Alligator mississippiensis: one gene and its partners. Each later gene encodes a partner of the first gene's protein in a complex. Links are inferred from orthologs where the notes say so. Each region holds a gene or a part of one and is shown in the gene's direction. Other genes may lie near its edges. The genes, in order: PPP2R2A, IER5 and ARPP19.

What was found.
Region 2: the proteins of PPP2R2A (region 1) and IER5 are in contact, whole or in part, in a cryo-EM structure (PDB 8UO5), measured with the Homo sapiens proteins. The link is inferred for Alligator mississippiensis from reciprocal best matches to the Homo sapiens genes PPP2R2A and IER5. Residues at the interface, in NP_002708.1 of Homo sapiens: Glu91, Ile92, Glu93, Glu94, Asp116, Tyr178, His179, Asp197, Leu198, Met222, Leu225, Thr226, Glu227, Val228, Thr230, Ser247, Phe280, Phe281, Glu283, Ile284, Ser287, Cys334, Tyr337, Glu338, Asn339, Asp340, Phe343, Lys345; in NP_057629.2 of Homo sapiens: Ala7, Arg9, Ile10, Ile13, Ser14, Lys17, Arg25, Gly26, Lys29, Leu30, His31, Lys32, Leu34, Leu35, Val36, Leu38, Val39, Leu40, Arg41.
Region 3: the proteins of PPP2R2A (region 1) and ARPP19 are in contact, whole or in part, in a cryo-EM structure (PDB 8TTB), measured with the Homo sapiens proteins. The link is inferred for Alligator mississippiensis from reciprocal best matches to the Homo sapiens genes PPP2R2A and ARPP19. Residues at the interface, in NP_002708.1 of Homo sapiens: Lys18, Gly19, Ala20, Asp23, Asp24, Asp29, Ile31, Thr45, Asp47, Gly49, Arg51, Val53, Phe55, Val73, Thr76, Gln78, Glu81, Pro82, Glu83, Phe84, Leu87, Lys88, Ser89, Glu91, Glu93, Tyr178, His179, Asp197, Leu198, Asn221; in NP_001293124.1 of Homo sapiens: Lys42, Pro43, Gly44, Ser46, Phe48, Leu49, Arg50, Arg52, Leu53, Lys55, Lys58, Tyr59, Phe60, Asp61, Lys75, Pro93, Asp97, Leu98, Pro99, Pro103, Leu105, Val106, Ala107, Ser108, Lys109, Leu110, Ala111.

The regions. Positions count from the first base shown.
Region 1 is NC_081830.1:23,495,252-23,505,408, forward strand, and holds the start of PPP2R2A (serine/threonine-protein phosphatase 2A 55 kDa regulatory subunit B alpha isoform), read left to right. Parts: upstream 1-5,449; 5' UTR 5,450-5,464; coding exon 5,465-5,501; intron 5,502-6,262; coding exon 6,263-6,337; intron 6,338-10,157. Other genes in the region: EBF2 (transcription factor COE2), read right to left, coding at 3,421-3,530. UniProt on the Homo sapiens protein: Substrate-recognition subunit of protein phosphatase 2A (PP2A) that plays a key role in cell cycle by controlling mitosis entry and exit. Involved in chromosome clustering during late mitosis by mediating dephosphorylation of MKI67.
Region 2 is NC_081828.1:52,564,022-52,572,637, forward strand, and holds IER5 (immediate early response gene 5 protein), read left to right. Parts: upstream 1-5,825; 5' UTR 5,826-5,876; coding exon 5,877-6,500; 3' UTR 6,501-7,109; downstream 7,110-8,616. UniProt on the Homo sapiens protein: Plays a role as a transcription factor. Mediates positive transcriptional regulation of several chaperone genes during the heat shock response in a HSF1-dependent manner. Mediates negative transcriptional regulation of CDC25B expression.
Region 3 is NC_081834.1:23,356,000-23,366,796, reverse strand, and holds the start of ARPP19 (cAMP-regulated phosphoprotein 19), read left to right. Parts: upstream 1-6,605; 5' UTR 6,606-6,767; coding exon 6,768-6,812; intron 6,813-7,073; exon of another isoform or gene 7,074-7,499; intron 7,500-10,797. Other genes in the region: ATOSA (atos homolog protein A), read left to right, coding at 941-1,094. UniProt on the Homo sapiens protein: Protein phosphatase inhibitor that specifically inhibits protein phosphatase 2A (PP2A) during mitosis. Inhibition of PP2A is enhanced when ARPP19 is phosphorylated.

The DNA.
Region 1 (10,157 bases):
TCAAGTAGTGCTGCAAGAATATGGCTCACCTATTCAATGCCCCCTTAAGTTGTAAAATATTCTACCTGCAAAACATGATGGAAGCTTCATTCATTCAAACTGGAAACTAGTTTACTTGAGAACATACTGTAGGGAACTATATGCACTGATAGATAGAAGAGCCTAAGGTCACTTGTAGGCTATTACAAACTTCTTTATTCTGTGATAATAGCATCTTTGTTTCTAGGATTGTTGTAATTCATTATACTCTTGTCTATGGGTCACATTACTAAGAAACTACAGCACATACAGAACTTTATTCTTGGAGGTTTTTTAGAGAGAGGTTTGATCGTCTCAATTTTAATATATTTCAATTAGTTATTCAACAAGATTAATTTAGATTGTTTTACTTAAATTACAATTGTGATGATTTATCTACTGTGTACGTATATACTACTGGCCATTAACGAGGACTACTTGGCTATGCATCTTAGTTTCATTATTGTTACCGGCTAGCAGAGATTTTGCTTTTCTTTAAGTACATGAGGCCTGGCTATGGAGCTGAGGTGTCTGGATTGTAAATTTGCAGCTGCTATATGAAATTCTCTGTGCCACAATGGGCAGCGTAAAGGACTTAGATAGTAAGTTATCTGGGTAAAGTGCATCTTCTGGTCTTTGTATAGCACTTAGCAAAATTGGCCCCAAGTTTAAAATCAAAGCTCATAGTTGCTTAAAAGTTATGTCTGTCAACTGTACTAAATTAAACTGTAATTAGTAGTTATGTCCCTGAACTTTCACCTAGTTTAATTTATATGTAAATAGTAAACTTGTATTATTTTTTCATAAAGTTTACATGATAATTTTTACCGATTAATTTAGTAAATATGTCTAACAAAGCTCTGTGCTGTGAAAAGCTCCTTGGAACTTGTTGCATAAATGTAATATTTATAATTACTAATAATAGTTCTAATTTCATAGGTAGTGAACATATGATTCCCCTGTTTAAATTAGTGAAGCATATGCATGTAGTTAAGAAATTTTGTGAAACTGTAGTAATTTTGCACTAATAATTTACACTAGCATATGACTGCCAAATCACCAAATGCATACAAGCAAAGACTACATCACAAAGGTGTTCCACCAGGTAATAAGGCTGTGATTTAATGTTAATTATTTATATGACTTCATTATGTTCTGTAGCCAAGTTGTTTATAATACTAAAACGTATTTTTTAATCTCACAATGTTTAAGTGAAGAGTCATATCTTTTCTAGAGGAACTTTGCTAGTTACAACAAGTTGTAATAGTTTCTTTAATCCACGATATAAAGCTCTAATTGCATTTTTTTTTTTTTAATTGCAGGATTTTTTAATCCACAGGAACTCCATGCCAAGGGCTGAATTAATTTCTGAAGCCCAAATTAATGGATTAATTCAGCCCTATTTGCAAAGGAGGCTCACTAAGTGTTGGCAAGATGTCTTCCTCCGAGCTGTGCAGAATGTTGTCAAGTCATTCTGAAAGAATAGGGATTTACCAGATTTCATTACAAATTTTAAATCTGGTCCAGGCTGGAACAGCCCTTTGTAGAGACCTACCACATAGAGGTGGAGCAGATCATAATGTCCCCCGAGCTCTGGGAAATGTGGAACTATATTTTTATGGCTGTCCCTCAACTCCCCAGGCATCCAACAAGCTGTGATCCTGTTGGCCTATGAATATCCTTAAGCTTTGGCTAAATTTGTCTCTGGACTTCTGATTTGCTCTGATGCCTACAAATAACACGTGGCAGGGGAGATAACATGATGATGGTTTCAGCCCATGTGGTTTTACTCACTTGGCCGGGGATATTACAAGTATATTACAAATAAAGTAAGTACTTACTTACTTACTTACTTACCCTTTTTCTCCACCTTGTGGGTACAGACAGAAGTGCAGCTCCCAGATGTAACTGAGAAGGCTTTGCAGGAAGCCTTCTGAGTTACAACTGATGTCCTGGAACAAACTGAAGTTCACTGTTGGCTCCAGGGGGAGGGGAATCTAGCTGCTGGCTGCCAACCTGCCCCTGGTTTCCCCTAGCAGTGGCCCAGCCTGTTTGTTTCAGGATGGGAGAGGGGAAAGGGAGCAGAGGGAGCTCATTCTAGGGGTTCCCCAGCCTTTTCTGGAGGGTGGGGTGGGTGTACTGGAGCCCCCCAACCTCGGAGGGCTCTAATACACCTGCCCACACTCCAGCAGGGGCTGAAATACCCCCAGACTGAATTTCCTCTGCTCCCTTTCCCCCCCCCTCCCGCCCCGAAAACAGCTACAGGCTGGCAGGCAGTACAGACAGAAGTTATAAAAGACTCTGTTTCCAAATGTCTTGATCTGACTGACCCTGCATACAATGAGGGGTCAGATTTTCACGTGATTGGCCATTTTTGAAGCTGTCTGCAGCCATGTACTTATGTTTGGTCACCGCTATAAACTGCTTTCTATGGCCAGATCTGGCAAAAAAATGTCACTTCTGTCTGCGCTCTGGATGACTTGGTGTGGGGTAACGGCCTGTCCCTTGCACTGCAGGTAGGCTGACCCCTGCTAGAGTCCACGAAAGCCTCTTGCCTACCCCGTTTATGGTGCTGGGCAATTGCTCTTGGGCTTTCAGTGGTTCCCAGTCTGTGGCACGGGTACCACCAGTGGTGCACATTGACAGATGTATTATAATTACTCGACGTGACCAAAATTTTCTGGTGGTTGAACTGGAAAATTTGCTGGTGGTACTTCAGGCTGTATTGTTTAAAACTCACGGTGTGCAACCTGTCCGAGTTCAGGAACTGCTGCTAGCTTATTCCTTCAGCATTTTGGCTATGGGGAAGCGGGACTGGGAGCACCTGAGCCCCAAGGCCTCCAGGCTCGGGGCTTGCATGCTTCCCGCGGATTCGGGAGCATCTGAAGCCTTGGGCTGAAGAGCAGAAAGGTAGGACACTTGCTGCCACCAGACTTGAGCTCTGTTTAGCGGGCAATTTGGAGCCCATCTGGCCTGAGATGTGACATGTAGATTAAAAACGAGACAAAAGGAAGCTTACAAAGAAGCTCCCTCAATTTTGGAGGAGGCTGGCTGAGGATGCCAATGCAACTGGTTTCTCTGGCCGGGGTGCATCCCTGCTGCCTAGCGGCTCTGGACCCAGGTCGGAGGGAGCCTTTGTCGGGTATCTGATTCAGTCGCAGTCTTGCACGGGGCCCTTGGCAGGACGGTGCCGGGCTGCTCCCCCTCCCCGGCGCCGTGGCGGGGTGGGGGAGGGAGGGCAGCCCAGCCGCCGCCTCGGGGGGAGGTGCCGAGACGTGTGTCGGGGTGGCTCCGGGCCGGGGCCCGGGGCTGTGCGGTGCTCACGTCTCCCAGCCGCCGCGCGGGAGGGCTCGCGAGGCCGGGCCCGCCTGCCCGCGCCCCCCGCGCTCAGTTCGCACCCACCTCCGCGGGGCTGCAACTGACGAGGCTCCGAGCCGAGCAGCGGGGAGGCGAGTCCTGGGCGGGCCCCGCCGGGGCTCCGCGGGGGCTCGGCCGGCGCGGCGAGGCGACATGGAGGCGGCCGTGGGGGCGGGGGTCGCCTCACGGGACGGTTGGGGGACGGTTGGGGGCGACCGTTGGGGGGGGGGGGCGGGCAAGACCGAATCAGCGCCCCGCCCCCTCGGCGTTCTCGCCCCTCCCTCCTCGCTCCGGGTGACGTCACCCGCAGCTCCGCCGGCGCCATTTTGAAAGTAGACTCTTAGAGGGGGGGGCAGGGAGGGAGCCAAGAGCGGGCGAAGCTCGAGGAGCCGAGTCGGTTTCACCCCCCCCCCCCCCGGTACAATCTGCCGCCATCCTCCTCCGCGGCACCCCCCCGCCCGGCAAACGGGGGCGCTTCTAAGAGCGGAGACGTGCCACTATCAGACCCGGCCACCATTGGGAGGCCAACATGGCAGGTAAGGGGAAGGGAGCCCCGTCCTTCCCGGGTACCGGGCGCTGCAGCCCGGCGAGGGCGGGGAGCGGAGCGAAGGGGGCGCAGCTGAGGCCACGGGGCCGGGGCGCGTGCAGGGAGCCTTCCTGGGGCTGCACATGTCTGCTCCCTCTTTCCCTTCCTCCTCTTTTTTTCCTGCATTTCCCTGCATCCTGGAGCGCAGTGTGCAGAGTCCGTTTCTCCCGCTCCTGATTTCCTTCCTTCCTCCCCCGCCGCTTCCCCTCCCTGCCAAAAGATTTGCGTTGCAAAAGGGCAGCGGTGGGGTGAGGCGGGGGAAGTCCTGTGGCCCTGAAGTTGAGTGTGGAAGGGGGTTCCGGGTAGGGTGGGTCTCTCCTTTATTCCCTGTTCGACTTTCTGCTTTGGGCCGGCAGATCTCTCCCCCCCCACCCCCCGCCGCCTCCCTGGAGCGCAGGCTGGTGCTGGCGGTGTAGACAGGGCTGACAGAAAATGGTGTTTGAGTGCATTGGCATCCTATTGTAGAGCTCACCTATAAGACATCTGCAGATAAGAGTCAAATCAGACTCTCAAATAAAAAATACCTGCTCTTGGGGTGGGGGTGGGGTTCTCTTTTTCTTCTTTCTCATTTTCTTCCCCATTTTGCAAATGGCTTTACTTCATGTACAGAAGTGTGGTTGGTAGGACACGATTTTGTTTTGTTTTTTTACTTTTCCCCTTTGAATTATTTTTTTTCGGTGCTCTCTTCCTCCTTCTCTGCAAATAAATTGCATTTTTTATTCTTTGCATTTGGGGAGGCTCTGTTTAGGTTTGCATCTTGCCTTCTCCCCTACACTACAGCTCCCCTCTCTCCACCCATCCTTGTCTTTTTAATCAATGGAAACAGGGTCTTGAAGGCAGCAAGTTGTTTGGAAAATGAAATTCAGCTTGATAGTTAAGGTGTGGTGGCTTTTCCTGCAAAATGTCATCCTCAGAATGCTTCCATGATGTGAAGTGCTAAATAACAAATATCAGAGGCTGGGTACAAGTGAGAAATTGAGGATTCAGGTTTTGGGGAGGTGGGAGAGATGGTGTGGTAGGGTGTACTCCAAGCAAGTATTTTTCATAGGTGAACATCTTCGTGATGCTTCCTATTGCTGCAGCTCAGTCTAATTCACTAATCTCTTGGTGCTTAAAGAACCACCAAGTTCAGACTCTTGTCTGATCCATTTCAAATGCTGGATTCCCCTCCCTAGTGCTGAGGCTGGCTGTTGATGATGTTTCACGGAGAAAGCAGCTTGCTTCTTCATTCTTAAACTTAATTTAACTTGTTCCTTCCTGCATGCCCCTTGTCCCCAGAAGTGGTTTAGCAAGCACTTTGCAAACTGCATATGTTGCTTAGTCCTGGGTTATCATGGCTGGGAGGGAAGTCTCTCTTAGAAAGAGCAAGCTCATTTCAGTCTCTTCCTGTATGTACCAGCCCAGTGATTTGCTCAGCATGAAATGTAAAAGAAATGGGTGGTGGATTCCTGCATGTTTTGGTGGCAAGGTTCAAATGAATCACTGCCTTCCGCTGAAGCAGTAATGTTTCTGAAGCTTTCTCTTCGATCCATTTTCTATGGTAGTTACATTTGTTAACTTTAGGTAGATTTCAGGGATTTGATGTCTCTCTTTTTCCTCTCTCTCTCTGTCTCTCTCTCTCTTTTTCTCTTTCTTCCCTAGGCCTTATATTTACTCCTGGTACTTCTGTTGGGGAATTGCAGAGTTGTTGTAAAATTTCTCTAGTCTTTAAGTATTTAGTTGTTGTAACATTTTAAGGCAGCCAAAATGAAAGTCAGTTTTCTTTGAGATGTGCAAAGGTTTTAAATGTTTGTAATGTTCTGAAAATCATTCCTGGACCTAGTATTTATTTTTAAATGTAAATCACTTGTAAGTAGAGATCTGTTTTTTAGGTTTTACTGAAGTTCTGAAGTGGAAAAATGCTTTGATGCGAAATAAGCTGCTGTTCTTTTGTTTTCACATAGCATTGTTCATGCGTTCTCTTTTTAAACATAGCATAGTTTAACATTTAATTGTAATTATTTTGGTAGTTTTATGACTTATCTAATTGTAGTGAAAAGCTTCGATCATTCTTAGCACTACTTTAGCCAGATTGTGCTTTGAATACAAATTGCGAGTGACAAGCGGTATCATTTTGGGGGAAGCACTTTGTAATCAAGATTTTGGCAGCTCTGCTTTGGCTTGGGAAGTCTTGGTGGTGGGTGTGTACAACAGGCTCTGAATTGTTGCTTGCCAGCCCTAGATGCATGCTGCCTCAACTGGAGCAAATAAAATTTGCAAACAGTTTTAACTGGGGTCTCTGCTGCTTTTTTTTGCTTCCAGGAGCTGGAGGAGGAAATGATATTCAGTGGTGTTTTTCTCAGGTGAAAGGGGCTGTAGATGATGATGTAGCAGAAGGTAAGAAAAGAACTTTTATTTCTTTAAGTTACCTGTCATTATCAGTTCTGGCAGTGGCAAACATTTTTAAATAATCTTCTCTGCTGAAGTGTCTTTGTGAAAATTGAACTTTATTTTTATATAACTATAACAAAGTAGGTAAAAGCAGTGAAAAATTAAATGCATATCTGAGTTTATGTATATTTAGACTCCAAGACTTGCATCTGGGGTATGGTGGGTCCAGCTTGGGTCCAAGCTCAGATATGGTGTCTATAACTGACTGGACTTTTTTTCAGTCACATTTCGTCCGTGTGTTGCTTTACACAACTTGCTGTCAAATGGCCACTATTCTCAGTTGTGACACTGCTATTTATTTGTTTGTGGGGGTTTTTTTACATCCATCAAATATAGATAGTGATGCTTGTTCATATTCCTGGCACAGGTGTTTGAAGATTGATTAATGTTTGTGTAGCACTTCTAAAGACAGACGGTGCTAGATAAGTCACCTAACTTTGTTCTGATCTTTCTGTCATACATAACCATCAAGACTATCTTAACCTTTTAGCAATTAAACATTCATTGTTGAGAGGTTTTGTTTTTAGGACTAAAGTTATTAAAAACAGCCTTAAATTTTTGTAGTCAGGTGTTCTTGTATGGCCAGACATGGATGTCACTTTAGCAATGAGCCTGGTTTCAGTTCTGGGGAAAAATTCCACTTGTAGTTTTCAAATGTTACTTGCTTTGCCTAAGCCCTTTCTCACCATTCAGATGGCTAGGCTGAATGGAGGCCTAGATCCTGCATGCTGCTCTGTAGGGCTGGATACCCAAGCATCTGTTTTGCACAGACCAGCTTGCAAGATCAGGAACTAGAAGAATTTTGTCTTGCAGGGAGTTGTCTTCACTGTATGTAATTTGGGTCAGCATTGTATAGGCTTTGCACTTTCTAACTTGCAGACAAGTGTTAGATTTTCATTGCTTCTAGGAAAGAAGTAATTAACATTCTTTCTATTACTTCAGCTTTTTTTGAGTTGTGGTTTGAAGTACTCCAGGCTGGGTAAAATATGGACCATGGGCTGGGTCCAGTCTGCCAAGGGATTTTATCCGGCCTATGGTGGATCCCTCAGCCCTGTTGTCCCAGGCTCGGGGCAGTCCAGGCTATGGCATGTGCAGCCGGTCCTCGTGCCTCTGGGCGTGCAGCATGATTGCGGCAGCGTAGCAGCTGGGTTCGCTTCCCAGCAGTCCCTGCAGCAGCACCTCCTTCCAGCTGCCACAGCCAGTCTCTGCTACCAAACTCAACCCTGCTGCCAGGGCACCGTGACCTGTCTGCCCCACACCCACTGCTGGGGTTGCCAGACAGAGCAGATGTGTGGGGTATCCAGGACCCCCATGGGCAGGGCGTGCTTTGCTAGGTAGATGGGATGAGGCCATGGGTGGGTGAGGAAGGGCATCTGGGAGCAGGGCAGGCAGACTCCCAGATGTTAACAATCTGGGAGTGGGGCTGGACGCAGGGCTGGAATCTTGGGGTGGTGACAGTGTGGGGCTGGGGCCCCAGGGCAGATCCCCAATCCATTGCCTGTACACCCCTGCAGTGGGTGCCAGTTGTGCAGGCAAGGGTGTGGGGCGAGTATATTGAGGCGCTTCCCCTGGCCCTGCACTTTCACAGCACCGTGATCTCAGCCCTGGCCCCGCTGGCCTGTTCCACTCCCAGATGCTGCTGCTCCCTTGCCCACCTGTGGTCCCATCTGTTTGCCTGAATGCACCCTGTCTGCGGGTCCCAGGCTGGTTTCCATGGAGACCCTGGGATTGCTGGGCAGTGAGAGTGTGGGGCCTGGGGCATAGTCGCAATATGCTTCCCTCACGCCCCTTCCTGCAGAGCCGGCACCTGTTGTAGGGGTGTGCAAAGAGTGGATTATGGCTTGGTTTGGGGCACTGGCCCCTCGATCCTGATCACAGTTCTGGCCCCGCTCACCTCTCCCTCTGTCCCCTACCTGCCCATGGCTCCATCCCATCCACCGGGCCAAGTGTGGGGCAGAGCCAGGGAGGGAGTTTTGGTGAGCTGTTTGCAGGGGGTAGGAGTGGGAGGTGTTGATTCTCACTCTGCCCCAGGACAGCTCACCAGAACTCCTTAAGTGGACTTGCGGCCAAAATAATTGCCCATCCCTGAAGTAACCTGTGAAAGGCTAAATGTTGTCTAGAATTGCTACAAATGTAGCAGCACAATTGTCTTGTTTGTGGTTTTTGTTCAGGAAGCATGTTGCAACATGTAACAATAATAATGCCATTCAAGGATTGTCAGGCACTTACAGAAAGATGAAGTATGTGTCTCTTGTCAGAAAACATCAAATTGCTCAGTAAATATTCTTAAATCCTGATTTCTAGATTACTGTTAAGTATTTCCCCTGCCAGGTATCTTTTTCTGGTGAATTTTGTTTCAGTTGGAATTCTTTAGCTAGCTAATTTCTTAATTAAATGAAGAAAAACTGGGGCAGTAGTGACTGCCTGTAGCAGTTGCTCACGAATATTCCTACTAATGGATTGGGCATATAACCCAGACAGTTTGCATCCCTTCCATGTAGTAATAGTGGTGTTTTTCTGCATTTCTGTGTATGAATGGGTTTTCCAATGATAGAGAAATCTGAGAGCCATGAAATTCTGTCCTTAGTTGTTCCAAAGCATTATAGTATGAAAGATGATTTGCCAACTTCCTGGCACAGTTGGACCACTACAATATCTCGTCACAATAGGTGGAGTTTATTATCCTTAGCTGTGAGTGTATTAACTAGCTTGGATTTCATCAAGGCATTTGGTGACTTTTTAATCTGTGTATATGTTGTCCATTTTTGTTCATTCTGTTGATATACAGAAAGTAAAAGTCAATCTTTGGATAAAATGAAAGTATGTTATGGTTTTAAAGGGACTAAAATTGACTACAATGCTTACTTTCTTAAACTTTGAAATAGGTTTGTATTTTTTTATTAAAAACAAACAAACCTCAGTTTGGTGTGCCAGAGCCTAATTGATTGGTTTTGTGCACATGGAGGGGCTGCTGAAGTGTGTCTTCTGTGTGAGAATCCTGGATCCTAATGGATTTGTCAGGCTTGAAAGTCACTTTTTACTCATGACCAAGCTTTTACATGGCATGCTGAGAGCCCTTATGGAACTGTTACTATGTATAGTTAATCAAAACAACTCTTAGCTTCTATCTAAGTATTTAAAGGTAATGGTAAATTTGGGAGAGATGCCTTATAACTGTAATACTTTCCAAATCGTTTACTGGTTAAATAGTGTATAAGGTTGCAGTGCTTAATTTTTTTGGTTTGCTTTTATCAACTGAAGTTTGCTGAAGTGGTGGACTAAGTGTTGCCTGTGATGATGAAAGGGGAAAAGAGTAAGATCGTAGTTTGTATGTCTGTATCCAGTTTTTAGACAGTTACATGGAATATTGCTATTTAAAAACAGATTTGTTACATTAGCAACTTGTTTTGCTTAAAAAATGGGAATAAACTTTAGAACTATAATTTGCATTTAGTTTGATTTTGCAGTTTATTTTTTGCATCTCCTTCAGGGTTGAGGTGGTTTCACTTTTTTATATATAGCAAATTTGAGTTATTTTCATTATCTGTTTTCTGGACCCTGCTATGTATGGTATTGTAATATTTATGGTGAAAATATTTACTTCGTGTACAAATTATAGCAGTTTAATTTTCATTAAGTGATGCAACTATACATGTGGATACTCCATGTTTGTTTAAACATGGATTGAAACATGAAACCTTGCACAAGCTAAACTAATGAGTGTCCACATACAAATTGGATCCCTTTGACTACATCAGTTAATTGT
Region 2 (8,616 bases), on another chromosome or scaffold:
GCCTGGTTTGCACACAACTTAGAACTGTGGGAAGGGCACCTTTAACTTAAAACCCTTTAATGTGTGTGAAATCTTAAAAGGGTGCCACCCATTTAGGCCCATGACATTTACACTGAGATAGAATTTGTGCCTGTCATGCTCTGGTCTGTAAATTGAGAGAATCCTTGTCCATTCACTAAACTGCATTCCCCCAGCATCGGGCAGCTGTGAAGTTTTATTGAGATAGAAAAAACTGGGAATATGAAGGTATTAGTTAACATCTGTTCATTTAAATATGAAATAATATTTTGTACTTCCATAGAGCTCCTGTAATTCAGATTCACCATGAGACTCTGGAGAACATTGAATATTTTCCGTACCTCAGAAGCTGTCTCTCACAGACAGCTAACATCGACAAAGAAATCCAATATCACCTCAGTGTGCAAATGCAGCCTTTGGACACCTGGGAAACAGGTGTTTGAAGATCGTGACATCAAATCTGAAACCAAACTCATGGTTTATCAAACAGTTGTGATCCCCACCTTACTGTACAGAGCTAAGATGTGGACAACCTATAGGACCTCAAGTTATTGGAGAAGTGCCATGAGTGCTGCCTGTGAAAGATCCTTCAAATCCAGTGGGAAGATAGACATACCAACATGAACGTCCTCTTGCAGGCAAACACCATGAGCGTTGAGGTGGCGATGATCATCCAACATCAGCTTTGCTGGGGCAGCCACATCATCTGGTTGTCCAACTCCTGACTCCCAAAGCAAGTTTTATTCTCCCAGCTCAGTCAAGGAGCATGCCCAAGAGGAGGGCAGAGAAAGCGCTTCAAGGACATCCTCAAGGCCAACTTGAAAAAGGCAATGTTGGCATCAACTCATGGGAGACTATCACACAGGATTGCTACAAATGGAGGAAGAGTCTGCTGCAAGGATCTCAATACTTTGAAACCTTATGATGACAACAGGAGAGGGAAAAACAGGAGCAGCAGAAAAAGTCTCGCAGAGTGAATCAAGAATCCGGAGCCACCCACCCCACACAGAAACATGAGCCCAAGTTGCAACAGAGTCTGCTATTCACCTATCAGCCTCATCAGCCATCTTTGGACCCACAGATAAGACAGTCATGGAAGACAATCATCCTGGCTGCCAGGGAGTGCTGAACAAGTGTTTTTCAAGCAAGGATCTCTACGATTTTTCAGCACTACCAGATTTTATCTCACAAGACGCTTTTTACCCAAGGAATAACACTTTTACTGCTGATGCAGTAGAAATACCTGCATGAGTCTTCGGTTAAAATGTTGGTAGCACATCACCAATAATGTGGCTTTAGTTCCAACATTTTGAGGAGGCTTTATATCTCAGGTTTTGGCACTGTTCTGTCTCTAATCTTGATTCACCTCAATCTTTCTGAGGACTCAGTGATGAAATGAATCAGTAAACTCCAAAGGCTGGGTGCTTTACTCAGGTGTGGGAGCTACTGAAAGTCAGGTTTCTGGGGTAAAGAAAGCACTCCCTCACCAATGCTGATCACTTTATTCATCAGGTATATGCATCAGGAAATCAATATGAATTTCCCCTAAACAAAGACTAACAAACCTTAACATTCAAATTGGAATCATCTTTGAGTGACATCACAGACCCAGATCCTGCAAGCTGAAGAATCTGTGACTCTTCTGGTGTCACAAAAAAGAGTTTAACTTGACTTGTAACAGCCTAACACCCGCCAGTCACATCCTGGACACATGGCAATATATCAAATGTGAACAAGGCTGTTATAGATAGATACCACCAACTGGAATTCCAAGCATTCAGTCCCAGACTCAGCTTTTCTGGTTAGGTCTTTATTTAAGAGGTAGAGCTGTCAACGTCCTGAGGCATAGGATCATGATACAGAATCTGGTTCACTGGGTCTAGAAATGGGAGCCAATTCTTTTCCTTATATCAGTCATTTCCCTTCACATGATCCTACTTCCTTCTCCTTCTTTGTTTGCTGAAGACTGCACAGGGAACAAACAACTTGTGAGGCATGTACATGACTGCGGTGTTCTCCATAACTTGAGAAAGACTGTTGTTGTTGAAGAAAGTGAAAGAATTTCCAAGTCATAAAAAGAGATTTTGTACCACTGTAGCTTTCACAGTTTGGCATGTTTTAAGGTTTCCCAATTACAGTAATGAGAATTGTATTATGCTGGGTTTGTGGGGAGGCTAGGGGATACCAAACCATGTTTTGGGAGATGGTTCTGTTGTTTTCAGAACTCATTTTGGATTTAAACTATAATTGATGACTTAGTGGAAAACATACATTTTGAAGCTCTTCCAGTCTAAGATACTGTCTAATGTATTTGCGGGGGGGTTTCTTAGGGTGAGAGCCAGCATTTGGTTCAACAGTACTCCTGAAAGGAAAAATGGCTGGCATAACTTTTGGCTAGTGAGCTTCTACCTCAGGACAGGCTAACTTGGAGTCATTGGTGCATAAAGGGTGAATTGTTGTGTGTGGGAGAGAAAGAATACAACCAAAGGAATAGGAATACATTCAGTAACTACTGGGGAATCCACACACATAGGACTCTGTTGGGATTATGGAGAAATTCCATCCGGGTATTTGCCTATGTAGGAAGGACAGTCTGCCTTTTTTAGCAAAATAATGGTTCATTTTCTACTCTGCTCCTTGTAAAAGCTCTCCTTGTGTGCTGCATTTCAGCTCACAGATGTTCCCATTTCCACCCCCAGTTGACTCCATTTATAGCCTTCATATGTTGGTTAGCATGCCAGTGGAGGCTGAGAAAAATACTTAGGAATCCAGGGAGAAGTCTGAAGTGCTTCAGAAAAAAATGCTGTTCCTTTTTCTGTCTTTTTCTGACTAGTGTTAGAAAACAGATATTTCTGAAATCCAGAAGTGTGGCAAGTAGTACTGTGATTTGTAACAAGCAGCAATCTAGAGAAGTAGAATCGACAGACAGTATGGTTTTGTGAGAAGAGACTTTGTATGTTATCTTAAAAAAAGGCTATAGAAGAGAAATGTATAAGATGCCCTGCAATCAACAGTGGATTATTAACTACTGATATGTAACAATGGACAGGTGAGAGTTACGTGTAGTTTTACATAGAAAAGCCTTTGTATTTGTGTGCCCAGGTTGAGCTATATAGGGCCTGATTTTTAGAGTGCTTAGTATTATATGACAGTTTATATGTTCAGAGCATAGTTCCCACTGACCTAAATTGCAGTTGTGAATACATCCCCTCAGGACCATCCTTCCTACATACTGAATGAGAGAGGTATGCTGGAAAAAATGAAATGTGATCAGGTAATTAAAGACTATGCACAGCAGGAGCTGAATTACATTTTTCACAGACAGCCTTAATTCCTGCATCACTTGACTTTTGAATGTTTAATTTGGCAGGCGTAATATATTATTTTCTATTTTTTAATGTAAGTTCTTAGGCTTTCAAAAAAGCCAGCTGGACACAACAGAATTTCTGTCACATGGAACCAAACTGCTCCCCAAGTTGGGTCAGCAGCAGAGTTGTGATGTTGAGATACACAGTACAGACTTGTGTCCCTTGAGTCAACCCCCTACAAGCAGGCTTGAGATGGGAAGCAAAGACTATGCTTCGAACCAAAAAGCTCTATTGTCCTTTCTGCCTGAAGAAAAGAGCACGACAGCACAGCCTGGTGACTCAGGGCAGGGCTTCAGCCTGGGGTAGGCATTGCCTCTCACTCAGCTGCAGAGGAGAGTTTTAGAACCCAGCTGTTCCCTATTCCAGGTGAATACACCTAGCCGTGCTGTGGCTATATGCTGGCCCAAAGTGAAGGTCTGCATTTAAGTCCTTTTACCTGTCTGATGGCTTCTAACTTCAGTGCTTGTCCTCCTGTAGCCCAGAAGTGGCCCTGGGACTGGCCCAGCCCAGTGCAGACTCAGCAGGTTAGAGAAACCCTCTCCATATCAGGGACTTGCACAAAGTGCAGTTTGAGCATAGTGCCTTGTCCCCTTCCTTTGGCAGAGGCCTGGAGAGAAGCAAGTTTCCCATGTCTAACAGAAGCTTCAGGTCAGGGGTGGCTTGAAGTTGGGGCTGCTGCCTTGGATGGCATCCAAGTAAATGCAGGGGCCACAGCCTGGAATGGCCACCAGGGCTGGCCACGTTTTCTTAGTGGTGCTGCAGGGGTCTCGGTTCCAGCCTAGTTCCCTGGAATGCCTCTTGCCCACTGAGGGGTGGAGTGGGAGGCATGTTGGTAGCCACTAGATTGTAGCCCAGTGGTAGGTGAGCTGGCTTGCTAAGGTTGAGGTCCCAAGTTTGAGTTCCCTCTTTGCCTGGGTTTCTAGAGGTGCGCCTCTACCTTTGCTTTTTCCCGTTCCTGCTCTGGAACCTGCTTCTGCTCTTCTTTCTCTATGCTGGTATTTCCCCACTCCTAGAGGATGGCTCTGTCTTGCCTGTACCCTAAATGGGCCCCAGCTCTTCCCTGCTTTGGAGTCAAGCAGCTTATTATCCTTGTTCCTTGAGCAGCATCAAGAGCATAGATGGTGACTCTGCTATAGTTTGCAGTGCCTGGCACCACAGCAACAGTTGGGAGGCACAATTTCTAGGGAGTTATTCTTCACCCAGGAGCTCTGGGTTGGTGCACACTTGTTGATTCAGTGGGGATATGACATGTCACCCACATGAGTGCCCAGGGGCTGCAGCATGTTCTGGGCAGATGGATTCTGATGGGAATTTAATTACCAAATGCCCCTAACAAGTCTCTCCCAAACGCATACAAACAGAGTTTTTTTCAGAGTTGTAGAACTCGGTTATATTTAGGTTGTTTGTCCGGTGAAATACTAGAAGGCGCATCCCTGAGAAGGCAGTGGTGCTCTCATCCCAGATCTCAGGTTTCTCCTTTCAAAACATGGTGATGCTGGGTATTCTTCGTGAATCTGCTCTAAGAGTTTTTTATAAGGGGAAAAAGTATTCCCTGACCTTGTTTGCAGAAATAGCTGAATCTCCTTGGCTAAAGTTTCCCCCTCCCCAAAATAACTCAGTCAGCCAAGAGACCAATAGTGGGAGTGGAAAACCACAGCCCTAAAAGTTAGTTTGTAAAGCTATAAATAACTGAGGGCAACAGTGGAAAGTATTAGGCAAGCAACCCTGAGTGCAGGATAGGGGCACCGCTGTGTTCGGACCATGCAGAGGGCTGGTTTTGTGGCTGATAACTGACAAGGCATCAGATTTTGGTTGGGGGTTTCAAGGGAGCTTCGCTGAAAGCCAGACACTCCACTGACGCATTGGCCTGGTGTTGGTGTTGGGCTGCTGTTGGCCCACTGCCACCTTGGCTAAGCCTCCATTTCTAGCTGCTCCCTGTGCTTTGGTCTAGGGAGAGCAGGCTGGAGGTCCACAGCTCTTGTGGCACCAGGTTCAGACAGCCGGGCACAGCGAAGCTTTGGGGCCCCATCACCGGGTGGGGGGAAGCGACAGGCTGATGGTGGGCTGGAAAGTGGGGCCGGTTCCTTGGCTGGGCACGCGGTATACGCGTTAGGCAAGATCACAGCTAAGAGAGAGGCTTCGCCCGCCTTTCTCCTGCGGGGCAGAGGCCTCGGGGCGAGCCTGGCCTCGGCCCCTCACAGTGCCCCACCGCCCCGGAGCGCCCAGGACGCGGCCCAGCCCGCAGCTGCTGAGACCCGAGCAGCAGGGCCAACGCGCCCCCTACCCGCACACGTGTGCGGCGCCGCAGCTGGACGTTGCCCCTTTAAGAGCCCGCTCCGCGGGACTCGCGTTCGAACCCGCTCCCTCCCTCCTCATTGGCCGGAGCGCCCGGCGCCGCGCCCTGATTGGCCGGCTCGGCGGCGGTATATACGGCGGCTGGTGCGTGGGCTTGGCTCAGTTGGCTGCGAGGGGAGCGGCGCGCAGTGCCCCATGGAGTTCAAGCTGGAGGCACACCGCATCGTCAGCATTTCGCTGGGCAAGATCTACAGCGCGCGCGGCCAGCGCGGCGGCCTCAAGCTGCACAAGAACCTGCTGGTGTCGCTGGTGCTGCGCAGCGCCCGCCAGGTCTACCTGAGCGAGCCCGGCTGCCCGCCCGCTGCGTCCCGCGGGCCCGCCCCTCATCCGCACCCGGCCGCCTGCTGGGACCCGCCGCCGCCGGCCTGCGCAAGCCCGCGCCGCTGCCCCTGTTGCTGCCCGGCGGAGGCGGAGGAGCCCGCCGCGCCGCCCCCCTGCCCGCGGAAGCGCGGCGCGGCCGAGCGCGGCCCGACGGGCAGCCCGCGCAAGAAGCCGCGCCGCGAGGCGGAGGGGGAACTAGAGCCGGAGCCGGCGGAGGACATGGAGACGGGCAACGTGGCCAGCCTCATCAGCATCTTCGGTTCCAGCTTCTCGGGACTGCTCGGCAAGGAGCCCGCGGGCCGGCGGCGAGGGGCGCCCGGCGACGGACCAGCGGCAGCGGGCGGGGAGGCGGCGACGGGCGAACCCGGCCAGATCTGCTGCGACGAGCCGGTGCTGCGGAACCTCAACCCCTGGAGCACGGCCATCGTGGCCTTCTGACCGCCCGCGCCCAGGACTCTGCCCCGCAGGCCCGGGCTGCGGGGTGCCCCCAGGCCGGAGCGCTGCGCTGCACCCGTGCACCAGCTGGGGAAGAAGGGGCTTTCCTTCTGCAAACAGGCAGGAAGTGGGGAGCAGCGCCGGGGAGCCCCCCGCTCGCTCCTCCTACGCACTGCACTGGAGGGAGCAGGGCAGGAGCAGCCCCTCCGTGCCTGCCTGCTGCGATCGCTGCTCGAAGCCAGCCTTCCCTGGCCCCATCCTTGGGGGCCCAAGACACTTGGGGTGCAGTAAGTTGAGCCAGGAAAGTTGGAAGTTCCTGGCAAGTTTTCTCAAAGCTGCCTCTGGAGAAGCTGGAGGTCAGGACGACTTACATGGTGCTTTTTGCCAAGAGTTTAATGCAGCAGAACCACGTTTACAGACACTGGGGCAAGTCCTTGAGCCTTCTCCAGCAGGCGGGAGGACTCCCGGCCTTTGTTCTATAAAGGCTTGGGGCTCTCTGGGGGGTGGGGGTTGTACAGTACAGTGTTCTCTCCTTCCGTGATGTATTTTGTCTTTTTGTATTAGAAATTGTATTGCTACGTGTGTAACACGTATTAAATATTTTCAACTGTTCAGCTGTAGTCGTTTATGCAGCCGCCAAGTGGGTGGGAAGGGTGAGAGCTGGGCATGGGAGATGAGGAGGGTGTGGTGGCTGTGTCCTGGATCCACCCAGAGGGTCTGGGTGGTTTTGTTTCTAGCTCTGGGAGCTGTGAAGAAAGGAAGCTTCTGTTAGGGCAAGATTATGAGAGTCCCTCTCAGGACTTTTTTTTTTTTTCCAGGTCATCTGAAATACCTCTTGCTGTAGCTTGTTCCCTATTCAGCTCTGTGGCTTGGCAAACTGCCTGCTGAATTTGGGGGGTTTTGACTTGGGGTATGCCCAGTAGGTCTCTTGCCATCTCTGTTGTTTAAAAAAATCCAGAGATTGCTTGTAAGGCTGTAGTGAGTTGGAGGGGGGAGAATAGTGCTGCAGTAGCATTTGAACTTTTAATAAAAAAAAATGTGTAAATCATCAGTTTCCAACCTCTCCTTTAGTTGGACTGAGAAGTCAATATGACAAGAGCTGCTACACTGCCAAAATAACTAACGTTTTCTTAACAGTCAAGGTTGTTGTCCTATCTTGTCCAGTCAGCCCAGGTATTGGGTGGTAATATAAATAACTTGGTCAACTAAAAGCTTCTAGGAAAAGAATTCTCTTTTTTCTTATACCATACTTATAACCTGTGGAAGTCTTTTCCATTGAGAAACTACTACTTTGTTTGTTTTTCACCATTAACTTTGGCTTACCAGAACAGTAATAATTACAGTGGGGAATAGACAGATTTAATTGTTCTTGTTAACAAGATACGGTCAGTTTAATGATGATACATAGGCGTTAGAGAGACTTCAGCCTTTTTAGTTAATAACCCTTACAAAGTCTTGTGCAATCTAGGATATCCTTCAGTTTGCAGAAATGTTGGGGAAAATCATTTAAATCAACTGCAGAAACCTTGGTCTATGGGAGACACCTCCTCCCTTCCCTAGCTTAGAAAGGAGCAGTGTGGGGGGGGAGAGGCATAGGGTTTTGCACTATTGGATGTGCAGCTATGCAGTTCCTGTCCCTCAGAAGACTGGAGGGGACAGAAAGAGCAGAGTGAAAACAGCAATGGAGAGAAGGGACTCTGTTCTGTCATGATATGTTTGTCATGCTTGGTAATGTACACTCTTTTAGATAAAAGAAGGCTCTGGGGAGAGACAGTGTTTTACCTTTTCAAATAAGATAGTGTCTCTGTGTCTCTCTCTGTCTCAATCTTTACAAGGAAGCTAAATTCTTAAGGGGGGTGTCTGTTCTCCCAGAGTATTGTAGGAGTTAAGTGTTTGATTTGAAGTTTAAACACAAATCTGTTATTCCCTTACCCCTCTTGGTACTTGCAGTATCACACTCCAGTAATGTTACCACTTCTTAATAGGCCTGAAGAGAAAATCTGATTTCCTGAAATTTCCCCAACCCTCTTTGAGGCTATCTTGATACTTCATATACCCATGGGAGGATATTCTCCACTTATCCTCGCAGGCCCACGTTTGATTTGTTTTCCATTTCAAG
Region 3 (10,797 bases), on another chromosome or scaffold:
TTTGGTGTGCATAAGGTGTTTAAGTTCAGTTGATCAGAAATATAATTTGCTATTTCTGGATGAGGAAAATTGTCCAACTTCTGCACACTCCCAGCCACACACCTTGCAGACTGCATGCCTCGCTGCACACTGCACCATGTGTTATCCTGTCCCCTCACTGCAGTGCCCCCCCTCCCCCACTGCTCCACATGTCACTCCTCTTGTACTGTGCTGGACATTGCTGTGCTATACAGAGCTCCTGGGTCTTGGATTTGTCTCATGGTTGCACAGTGTAAATTTTAACTAATGCAGATGATTCTAAATGGATGAAGCTGAGGAATGAACTCGGTGGCATCTTGAATCTAAAACTTGCATCCACTTTTTACCTCCAGTAGTGAATATAAGCAAGAAGGTTGGGGAATGAACTAATATACTCCTATTTATGTGTTTGGTTCTAACTGTTCCTGGACTTGGAAGCTGCTGCTTGGGTGTGTTCCTGCCACACAGTCTTCTTTCAAGCAGTAGTCCACTTCAGATATGCAGTACTTGGTTCCGTGGCATGTGGAACAGGAGTACCTTCTGTGCAGCCCTTTAACATCCCACATTAATTCCTTTTTTCTACATAGCTGTGCAGTAGTTGTCAGACTGCACTACAGGCTTTTGTCCCCTGTGCTCTCCTAAGGACTTCACTGAATAGAAGCAAAAGATCAAGAATATTGAATCTAATTATTGGACAGTTTCATTTTGTAACTCTATCCAGTTACTGCCTATTATTTATGTATTTTATATATAGTGCACACACGCATGCATGTGTGTGTAAACGTATTCAAACACTTCATGGCCTTAATTCCTTTAATTTACACACTTGAGAAATGGTAGAGAAAGATTAATCTGTTTGGATGGTTAGCAGCTAGTCAACATTAAAAGAAAATATTTACACTGTATAAATATTGCTTTTTAGGTTCCAGAGTTCTAAATCTGGAAAGATCTACCTCCACAGAGATGTACGGCTCCTGTTCTCTCGGAAATCCATGGAAGTTGATAGCGGCGCTGCATATGAACTCAAATCATACACTGAATCTCCAACAAACCCTCAATTCTCACCAAGATGTTAGCAAATACTGAAAATGGAAGTATTCATTTTACTATCGGATTGCTGTCTAAGAACAAAGATTGGCATAGAATGCAGTATAAAATTCAATACATAAAGAAATTAAAATAGTGCTCAAGTGAGAGACAAGGCTCGTCTATGATTCTGGACCAGTTTTTGTAAAAGATTTCTGGAGTGAGCTTTGTGTATTCCAAGTAGACTGGAAGCATACTTATGTCTAATCTTTTTGTACTGTTTAAAACCACTTCATTGGATGTGTTGCAATAGCAAAATCCCAAGTTAGTTTAGTGTTTACACCTTTTATTTTATTTTTCAGTTATTTAATATTTAATGTTTCATTTAATACTCAAGTGATGTTTGTCTTTAGTGTTCTAATGTAGCATAAATCCTATGTAAAATCATACTATGTATTTTTGGCATTAATAATATTGAAATCTGAAATATATACAGAAGTCTTTAAGTCTGTGTGATGTGTTTTTAAGTGATATTCATTTAAGTTATTGAAAATGAGGATGGAATTTGAACTTCCATAACATTATCATCCTAGGCAAGCATGTGGATTTCCTCTTGTTTTTAATGCTCTAGTTTTTGATGATACCTCATTCTCATTGCTTTCCACACAGATTCTATTAACATCTCTTTACAATCATAAAGCAGAATGTGTTTTAGCTACTCACTAGTTCAACTCATTGACCCAATTCATATTTTGTTCCCTGTGTTTCTTTTTTTCACTTAAGGGCCACAATCCCAAGAGTTTTGTTTTGTTCTAGTTATCAGTATAAACATTTCACATAAAATTCCTCTCCCATACCTGATTTTTTCAAATTGTGTCTAAAGGAAAAAAAAAAGATGTATTGTGCAAACAAATTAGTATTTATATCCTAAATATATGCGGAAACTATGAAACTTGTAGTTTGGTTTTATTTTCAGATGAGGAATATATTCATGTGGGTTTAGGTATATTTGATAGATGTCTTCTTCCCCTCTCTTTTCCCTTTCCAACTTAGGCTAGCAGGGGCATTTATACACATACATGTAGGGGATGTTTTAATTAGAGTGGCTTCAAGAGCCACTCTAAAGCACCCAGAGTGTCTTGTGTATCACCATTCCTGTGGTTTAAAATGGTGGTAGGGGCGCTTTACCTAATGCTCGTTGAAGCAGCTTTAGTTAAAGCACCCCCTCTGCCATTAAGTGCAGGTACACTGATACATGAGACACTGGAGTCTGCTGGAGCATGGTAATTACCATGCTCCAACAGACTCGATTAATTGAGTCTGCTCGAGTATAGGGGCCCTAGGTGGTTATATAAGGTTGGACTGCATTAGTAAATACTGGAAAATTAGTAAATACTGGGAAGCCAAGCAAATGATTTTTTTTTATCTTCTACCTGTCTACTTCCCTAAAACAAAGCACTTCCCCAGATCATGACAGGCAGTTTACATGACAGCCTATTTTCATAAAAACAGTATTTCAAAATAAAGCTAAGTGTGTCATTGTTGGTTCTCAACCTTTTTAGGCCTAAGGCACCCCTTGGAAAAAGGCCAGCTTCTAGTTTTCACTTGTTTTGACGAGAAAAGTACCAAAGTAATTGGTCAGAATGTTTTTTGATGCTATGGATTCTTATTTGAAATCTCTGGATTTATCTTGTGAATTATGTTTGCACACGTAACGGTTCTAACATTACAAGGGTGCTATGGGGTGCCATGCATAGTTGAGCTAGTGAGAAAGCTACCCTTTTCACTTTTCTTGACTTAAATTGAAGCATATATTTAATATTAATGCTTAATCTTTTCAGTATTTTGCAAAAGTTTTTGGATGCTCCCCACTTGATATCCAAAGTCTTGTAGTTATTTTTACAAAGTTATTGGCATAAAAAGGACATTTACCTATTTGCCAGTAACTTCAAAGGCTTTGGAGAAAGGAAATCCTGGCATAGGTGGCAGAAGATGGGGCTACCAAGGCACAGTGCCCCCCACCCCACCCCTGCAAACATAGGGCAGCAGATATAGCTGCAGGGCAGCCTGGTCGCAGGCTGCTGCAGCAGGAGCGGAGGGGCGTGCATACAGCCCTGGTGTGTGGCTGGCCAGCACAGCAGATAAGTTTCAATCTGTCTTTGTGACTGGGCTTGGGGGAGGGGCAGATTGAGACCCCCCACAGTGCAGGAGGTAGTGGGGCAGGGGCAGGGTGAATCATTCACCCCTGCCCTGCCCCACTTCCTCTTGCACTGTGGGGATTGTCACAGGACCTAGCCCAGCCAGGGCCACATTTGCTGTGAATGGGGCCCCAGTCAGGCCAGGTCATGGGACAGTGGGAACCTGGCGGCCCATCTAGGGGTGTGGGGGTGGGTGCTCCTGCTGCTGCATGCATCGTGGGGGGGCTAAAGGAGGGGGTGGGCATGTGCAGAGGCATGGAGCAGAACCCAGCCTACCCCCTCCCTGCCCACAGATCAGGGGGCATGTGCCCCTACCTTGGCTTGACCACACTGTGCACAGCGGTGGGAGCCTCGTCTCCCCACAAGCCCCTGGACAAGCCACCAGGTTCCAAATGTCCCACGATCTTGCCCAGCTGGGGCCCCACGGTAAATGGGGGCTGGGCTAGGTCATGTGACAATCCCCACAGTGCAAGAGGAAGTGGGGCAGGGCAGGGGTGAATGATTCCCCCTGCCCCTCTTCCTCCTGCACTGTGGGGGGCTCAATCCCCAGCCCCACTCCCTCCTTCACGGCTGTGGGGGATGGGGGGAGATTGAGGCCCCCGTGGTGAGGGAGGGAGTGGGGCACAGGCAGGAGCAGGGGCTGGGCTGAGTGGGGCCCTGGCCAGCTGGGTGGTGGGACAAGCAGAGGCCTGGGGGACACATGCCTTCCCATCTGTGTGTGGGGTGGAGGCAGTTGCTATTGCCGTTGCTGTTGTGTTCTGCGCTTTGCTCCCTGCTACAGCTGCCCTGGGAGTGGCTGATGCCATGTGCCTGTCACTGCTAGGCTGTGTCGCGCACCCTGCCTGCCCAGCAGTGGGATGCATACAGCATTGCAGGGCAATTTGGCCAGGGGGTCTCAAAGCCCAGCATGCAGCAACAGCATCTGCCTCTGCCCTGTGCACAGATTGAGGGGGCACATGCCCCCTGGGCCTCCACTTGTCTCACCACCCAGTCTGGCCCCAGCCCACCCCAGGGCCCCACTCACCCCAGCCCCTGCTCCTGCCTGTGCCTCTCTCCCTCGCTCACCACTGGGGCTTCGATCTGCCCGCCACACCCTGGCCCTTTCTTCTCCCCCCACTGCTTCCTCCACAGACTTACCTGTATAAGGGAGGTCCATGAATATGCGTGCACGCTCAGCCCCGACAAATATTTTTTTTCTCCCTCTGCCTATGAATCCTGGTTAAACATGTGGGTCTGTGCTCCTTCCATTAAGATGAGAACTCCACAGATCTTGCCTTCTAGAAATCTACCAGTAAATCTAAGGGAGACTAGTTTTCCTGGTTATTTCTTTCTGGGTGTTTTGTCTGACTTAATTGCAGAGATGTGCAGGACTGACTATAGGGTAAATATTGTGTGTAAGAACAGCAGAATAAATGTGTGAAGGGCTTAAAGAAATTCTGTTCATAACCTAAACTTATGTCTGAAACATTATGAAGAAGAGCTGTATGAGGCACATCCAGAAGAAAGCAAAAACTGGCAAGGCTGGAGTTGAGATTCCCAGCAGAAAAAAAATACAGCCAAACAACAAAAACCTTAGGGGGTTTCTCTAATACTCTATAAAGTGCTGCTGATTATAATTCCAACAGGAGAGAGAAAAACATAATGTACTCTATAGGGTATTGCCAGCTCTCATGAATTTAATGGAAATAACATGTTTTTGGTCCCTAGGTCAGGCTACCTTGTGATGGTGTGAAGAGCTTTCATTCAGTTATAAGATCAGAACAGTGCTCTCAACTAGAATCCTCTGATCTTGGGGAAGGTGCAGGGTGCTGAAAATCTCGAGAGTAGGAGTTTAAGTTCCAGCTCTTCAATTCTGCCGTTAACATACCTAGGGGCAGTTACCCCCAAAGATGGCAGCCACATTTGAAGGTAAAAGAACCTGAGGTCCTTTCAGACAGAGCTGGCAATAGAAGCCAGGTCTCCTCCTGTTCACTGCAAGATTTTCAGAGGAACTTGCCAAACCTTATGTGTCTAATTCATACTAACAGAATGCTTGTCACTCCCTGCACCTAGACCAGATACTAAGGTTTATGACTACTACTGCTTTTGTATTCAGTCTGCTTTTTGAGCCCAAGTGGTAGAGGCTCAGGCTTAGGCTTTTTTGATGTGTGATCCCAAGCCCAGGCTACAACTACAATAAGGATGTCCTTCCATTTGACAGTTGCCTAGAGTGAGTGTAGCAGTCAGCTCCCAGAGTGGGAAATGGAAAGCAAATACTAATATCTGAGGTACAGGTTGCAGATACTAATATCAGATATTCATTATACTAACATTACTAATATTCCATCGCTTTCCCTGAGTATTTGTGTAACGGGCTGGCAAGGCACCTGGCCCTCAGGCTTCTGCAAATGGATCTCCACGCTTGCCCCTGTAAGTCTTGAATTGCAACCAAGTCATGGGAAGGGGCAGATGAGAAGAGAGCCCTGCCTAGCCTGATGGCCAAGCTGCTTCTGTGGCAACTCCATGTTGCAGACTGCGGATCCCGGGCCATGTGTTTCAGAGGCAATGCAATGTGTGTCTTGCTTTAATAGAAGCCATCCCTTGGGTGCCAGCGTTAGAGATACTGGTGGGACCTGAGCATGAACACCTCATGCCTCGCGAGGCTGGGGGTCATGGAGGCAGCAAGTGGGTACTGCCGGCAAATGCCACCGGCAGCGGAGGTGGGGGAGGCGGCGAGTGGCAGCTGCCCGCAGGCACCACTGGCAGCGTTGGTGGTGGTCAATCTCATGGGGTGCACGTGCACCCGCATGCACCCCACCAATGCACCCGAGGGCAGAGGCGTGTTGTCCCGGGGGCGGGCAGGGCAGCCCTGCCTCAGGAGCTGCACAAAGCTAGGCTGACGCTGTTCTGGATGCGTCAAGTATCCAGGCTGTAGCCCTATTGGTCTAGAGGAAAAAGCAATCCGGGCTCGTAGAAGAGATGGTATCTTTTCTTAGATCAACAAGATTATTGCAAAAAGAATTTTTTTGCGATAATCTTGTTGGTCTAATAAAATACGTCATAGCTACTACGGGCGCTGATTACTCAGTTTCGGAGCAATTTGGGCCCCGAGGCGGCGCTGCCGCCCACCCAGCCGCGGGGCTCTAGCCCTGGCCCCGCTCCGCAGGAGCGCCCAGGATGAGCCCAGCGCGCAGCCGGCGGCACCGCCCCTTCCGGCCGTGCCCTAGAGCCCCGCCCCCGTGCCTCTTCCAGAGGACATGCAGCCGCAGCAAGGCTTCCTACGATTCCCGTCATGCACCAGGGGACGGGAGTGGATGTGACGTCATGAAGCGGAACCCGCGAGAGCCGGAAGCGCCTTCCCGCTCATTCACTCCGGAGGCGGGCGGCGCGCTGGGCAGCACGGCGCGGAGGAAGTGTGGTCCTGCCGGCTCTCCGTCGGGCGTGCGGCGGCCATCTTGTGCGGGAGGTGGTCGGCGCGCGGCAGCAGCGGCGGAGACGGCGGCGCTTCCTCCAGCCCTTCGTGCGCCTGCAGCTGGCGGGGGCGCCATGTCCGCCGAGAGCCCCGAGCCCGCGTCCGCCGAGGAGCAGAAGGTGGGCGCCACGGGTGGGGGGAGGACGCTCCCGGGGCCCGGCGGCTCCGTGCTTCGCTTCTAGCAGCCGCCGGCTCCTTTCCGCCGCGGCCCCGGGCCGATGAGACGCCGCCCCGCCCCTCCCCTCCCCTCCCCTCCCCTCCCCGGCCGCCCGGCGCCTCCTCTCGCGGGCGGGGCGGCTCTGTGGCCGCGGTGAACATGGCGCCCCCTCGGCGCTGGCTCCCGGGGCCTGCGGGCACCGCTCGAGCTCTGCTCCTGGACAGTGCCCCCGGCCCCGCCGCAGCTTGAGGCCCGCGGGGGGCGGCGCCTGCGCGGTCGTGCGCACCTTCCCCCCGCGCCCCGTGCTCGGGGCTGTAGCCCGTACACTAGAGCTGGCCCGGGTGGGGGGGGCATCGCAGCTCCGTGGCTAGGAGCACCTCGTCCTTTTCCCACGGGCATCGAGTTTCCTCTTTCCTTCTTTTTTATATTTTTTTTGTGCTCCTTTTGGAGTTGCTTTTCTTTGGTCTTGTCCCAGCCCTGCGGTCTGCTCAGGAAACATTCCCCGACCGAGCAGTCGCAAAGGGTTCCTGAAATGCTGATGTTGCTTGAACTTTCCCCTCTGCTGTCAAAGCTTTGGGGATAGATTTGATTTACAGTTTGAAGTCTTTCATCCAGTCTTCGGGTTTGCTGACCTAATCTGGCTGGGCAGGTAGGAAGAGCAGACTGATTGCACTATGTTAACTAGCTCAACCCCCCCTTCCTCTTTCCCCTTTTCCTGTATTTCACCATTTTATATTGCTGTTTTTCTGTAATTAAGGGATGGTTAGCTTTGGAAAACATTTATTGGAAAAAATATCCAAAATGTATTAAAGAGGTAACCATAATGTACTCAAAGAGTTATTTTGCTTGTCTTTCAATGAAAATATGTCAGGAGAACACTTGTAGGAAATCATGCAAAAACACTCTTCAATTTCTTCCATACAGTTCTGAGTCAAGTCAAGTGACTTAATCTGGAGACTGTTTCTAATGGGATCCTTCAAATTTCAGGACATGGGCATCATCCGTGTCTAAACGTTGTTTGGAAGTCCAACACTGGTGCTATTTGGCTGCAAGAGTTATTGTATTAGAAACAGGTAGCATGAAGCATTAAGTTAAATCAAAGTGAAATGCACTCACCAATCATCAAAAATAAGTTAAATTTGACTGGCATCTCCACGAAACGCTACATCGCTGTAGTGATGAGCTATAGGTAGCTTGTTGCTATGGTGACATAGCTTCAGCGGGTAAGAACTGTGATGCTGACACTACTGAGCAGTAGCATCAGAAACTACCTGTGTGGCACCGGGACTTCACAGTAATGGTGGTTATTGCACAGTCATTTAGTACTTGGTTAAGGACTGATACAGTTAAGCAAGCACTAAGTGACTGCACAGTCTGGCCCACTGTGCATCAGGCCAGGGCACTGTGCTATTGGAGTTCTGTAAATGCCTTTGACAGAAGTTTTTTTAACATTTAAGAAACAGGACACATTTTAATCCCACATTTTGTGAACTGGTGGTTCAGATTAAATGTTCCTTCAAGTATTGTGTTGCAAGTTGGGGATACCTGTCTCATGAATGTTTCCCAGTTGTTAACTAATAGTAATGAATAACAACTTTTTTTCAGGGCTGTTTGCTTTAAAATCTCTTGGTCCCTAATGTGCACTATGGTAAGGATTTGAGACATTTGACCATCTTGCATACAAAGAACAAATTCAGGAGCTCTTTGAGCTGGGACCCTCCCCCAAGCAAATAAAATGACATATTTATAAAAGAGAACTAGAAATAATTAAAGATTTGGCAATATTTTTCCCAGGTACAAGTGCCATATTCTAGACTAATTACCATATTTCTACTGTATCAGAACTGTAGCTTTTTGCTACTTAAGTAATTACACACCCTGAGAATAAAACTGTATAAAATTTTAAAGTACAGAACTAAATGTTGTTTCGGTAAATGGTACAGAAATCCAGTAACTGTTTACACTACAACCATTTTACTTTCCAAAACTGTCTTTTATTGAAAAAACTGACCAGCAAATAAACCGTATATATTTGGAAATGGTCTTAAACTTGAAATAGCCAGGGATTTAGTGCTAGGGTCTTTCCCAACAAAAAAAAAGTACAACAAAATCTTGAAGCCTGTGCGCTCCAGAATAGAGGGGTGAAAAATGTTAAATAAGTTGAATATTAATTGAAATTTTGGTTGCATCTAAACTGGAGGTGGTTTTATTGTGTTTTTTTTTCCTCCTCTCTCCTGCCCAAGACAGTGCCCCCCAAACTCCCACACAGTGTCCCAACTCCCCTCCCCCCCACAAACATGTGAACGGTGCCACATATTGCCCATTCAGCTGTTCTTTATACTGCAAGGGAGCAGCATGGTGGGGTTTTTTGACCCCTGGATATCCAGGAGTCAAAAAACCCCACACAAAATAAAGCAGTGGTACATGTGGGGACAGTGTACGCTGCTTAAAACAGGAGCATGGTTGGCCAGAGCCACATTCCAGCTGCTAGCCAGGCTCCGAGCAGCAGGATTGCCACTGCTGCAGCTCCAGGAGGACCCCAGGTAAGGGTGGCCTCAGCCTCCCCTACCCTACCTAGGGCAGCCTGTATACCAGAGGGCATGTGGCATAGGCATTCTCCCTGGGGACAGCTGGCAGCAAGGTGTGCCGCTGCTGGTTATCCCCAGGGAACCAAACGTCCACACTCACGTGGACATGGCCTATATGGTTAAGAAAAGCCTCTTGAAGTGGCAGCTGACTCCTGTATTGAATATATCTACCTTTGCTACAATAGTTTGTGTTGTTTGATTAACTTTCATTTATTTTCTGTAATGGTTTGTTTTGGTGTTTCTGATATGCAGAACACCATGCTCAGATGATGGTTTAAGCAGCAGTGTCTGTAACCTAGTTGTGTTCCCCTTCTCACCCCCATCCCTCTAATATTAGTCCCTTGCTCAGGTGATTTGTATTTCCCTACTGGCTTTGTCATCTTTTTGTATTCACAATCCTAAACATCTACTAATAAAATTCAGTCATCTAGCTCAGTGGTTCTCAGCCTTTTTGTACCAGGACCTGTTTGTAAACATCAATGTCCAGTCCTGACCCAGTGCTCCTCATTCCCAACATGCAGGCCCCTGGTGTGTGTGTGTGTGGGGGGTGCGGTCTGGGGGGAATTCTGCCAGCATGCAAGGGAGACACCATGATTTTCCATTGTTTTTTCCTTTAAAAAAAAGTGTTCATCCTTTTTTAAAGTTTGTTTGCCACTCTTTCATACATTCATGTGACCCACTTTTGGGTGGTGATCCGCGGGTTGAGAAGCCTGATTTAGCTGATATTTTTTGTGTCAGCCATCTTGGCTGCCTTTCAGCATTGGGTTGCAGTAAATCTATTTTATTGACTATGGAAAATTTGTTGAGGAGCCTAGCTTTAACAACACGTTAAGTTTCTTGGTCTTGAGACCAGTTTTGTTTAGCATTTTCATTAAGGACCTTGGAACATGTAAGTGTGCTGATGAAGTCTTAACAGTATCTCCAATTAAGTCAACTATATAGGGAAAGATTGGCATATTAAGAAAGAAATTGATTATCTTCATAGGTTTCATAGATGTCTAAGGTCCGAAGGCTTCTATTAAATCATTGAGTCAGACCCCTACTCCAATCTTAAGGATTGGAGTAGTAGAAATGGGTTGAAACCAACTCTAGGGTTGTGCACTTGGGTACTAACAACAAATTTTGTAAACCAGGAGCTCTTCAGTTGGAACTGGCAGTACAGTCAATCCAAAGAGCACTGGGTTGGCAGTGTGATCCTAGAATGAGTTGGGCATGGGGTTTCTAGTAAAGATAGGGAAATGTCAGTGCTTCATACAAGGCCCAGGTGAGTCCTTACCCAAATACTGTATAGTTCTGGTCAGCCTTGATGGATACGTAGAAATCAGAACAGGTGTAGAGGAAATCACTGAGATGAGCCTA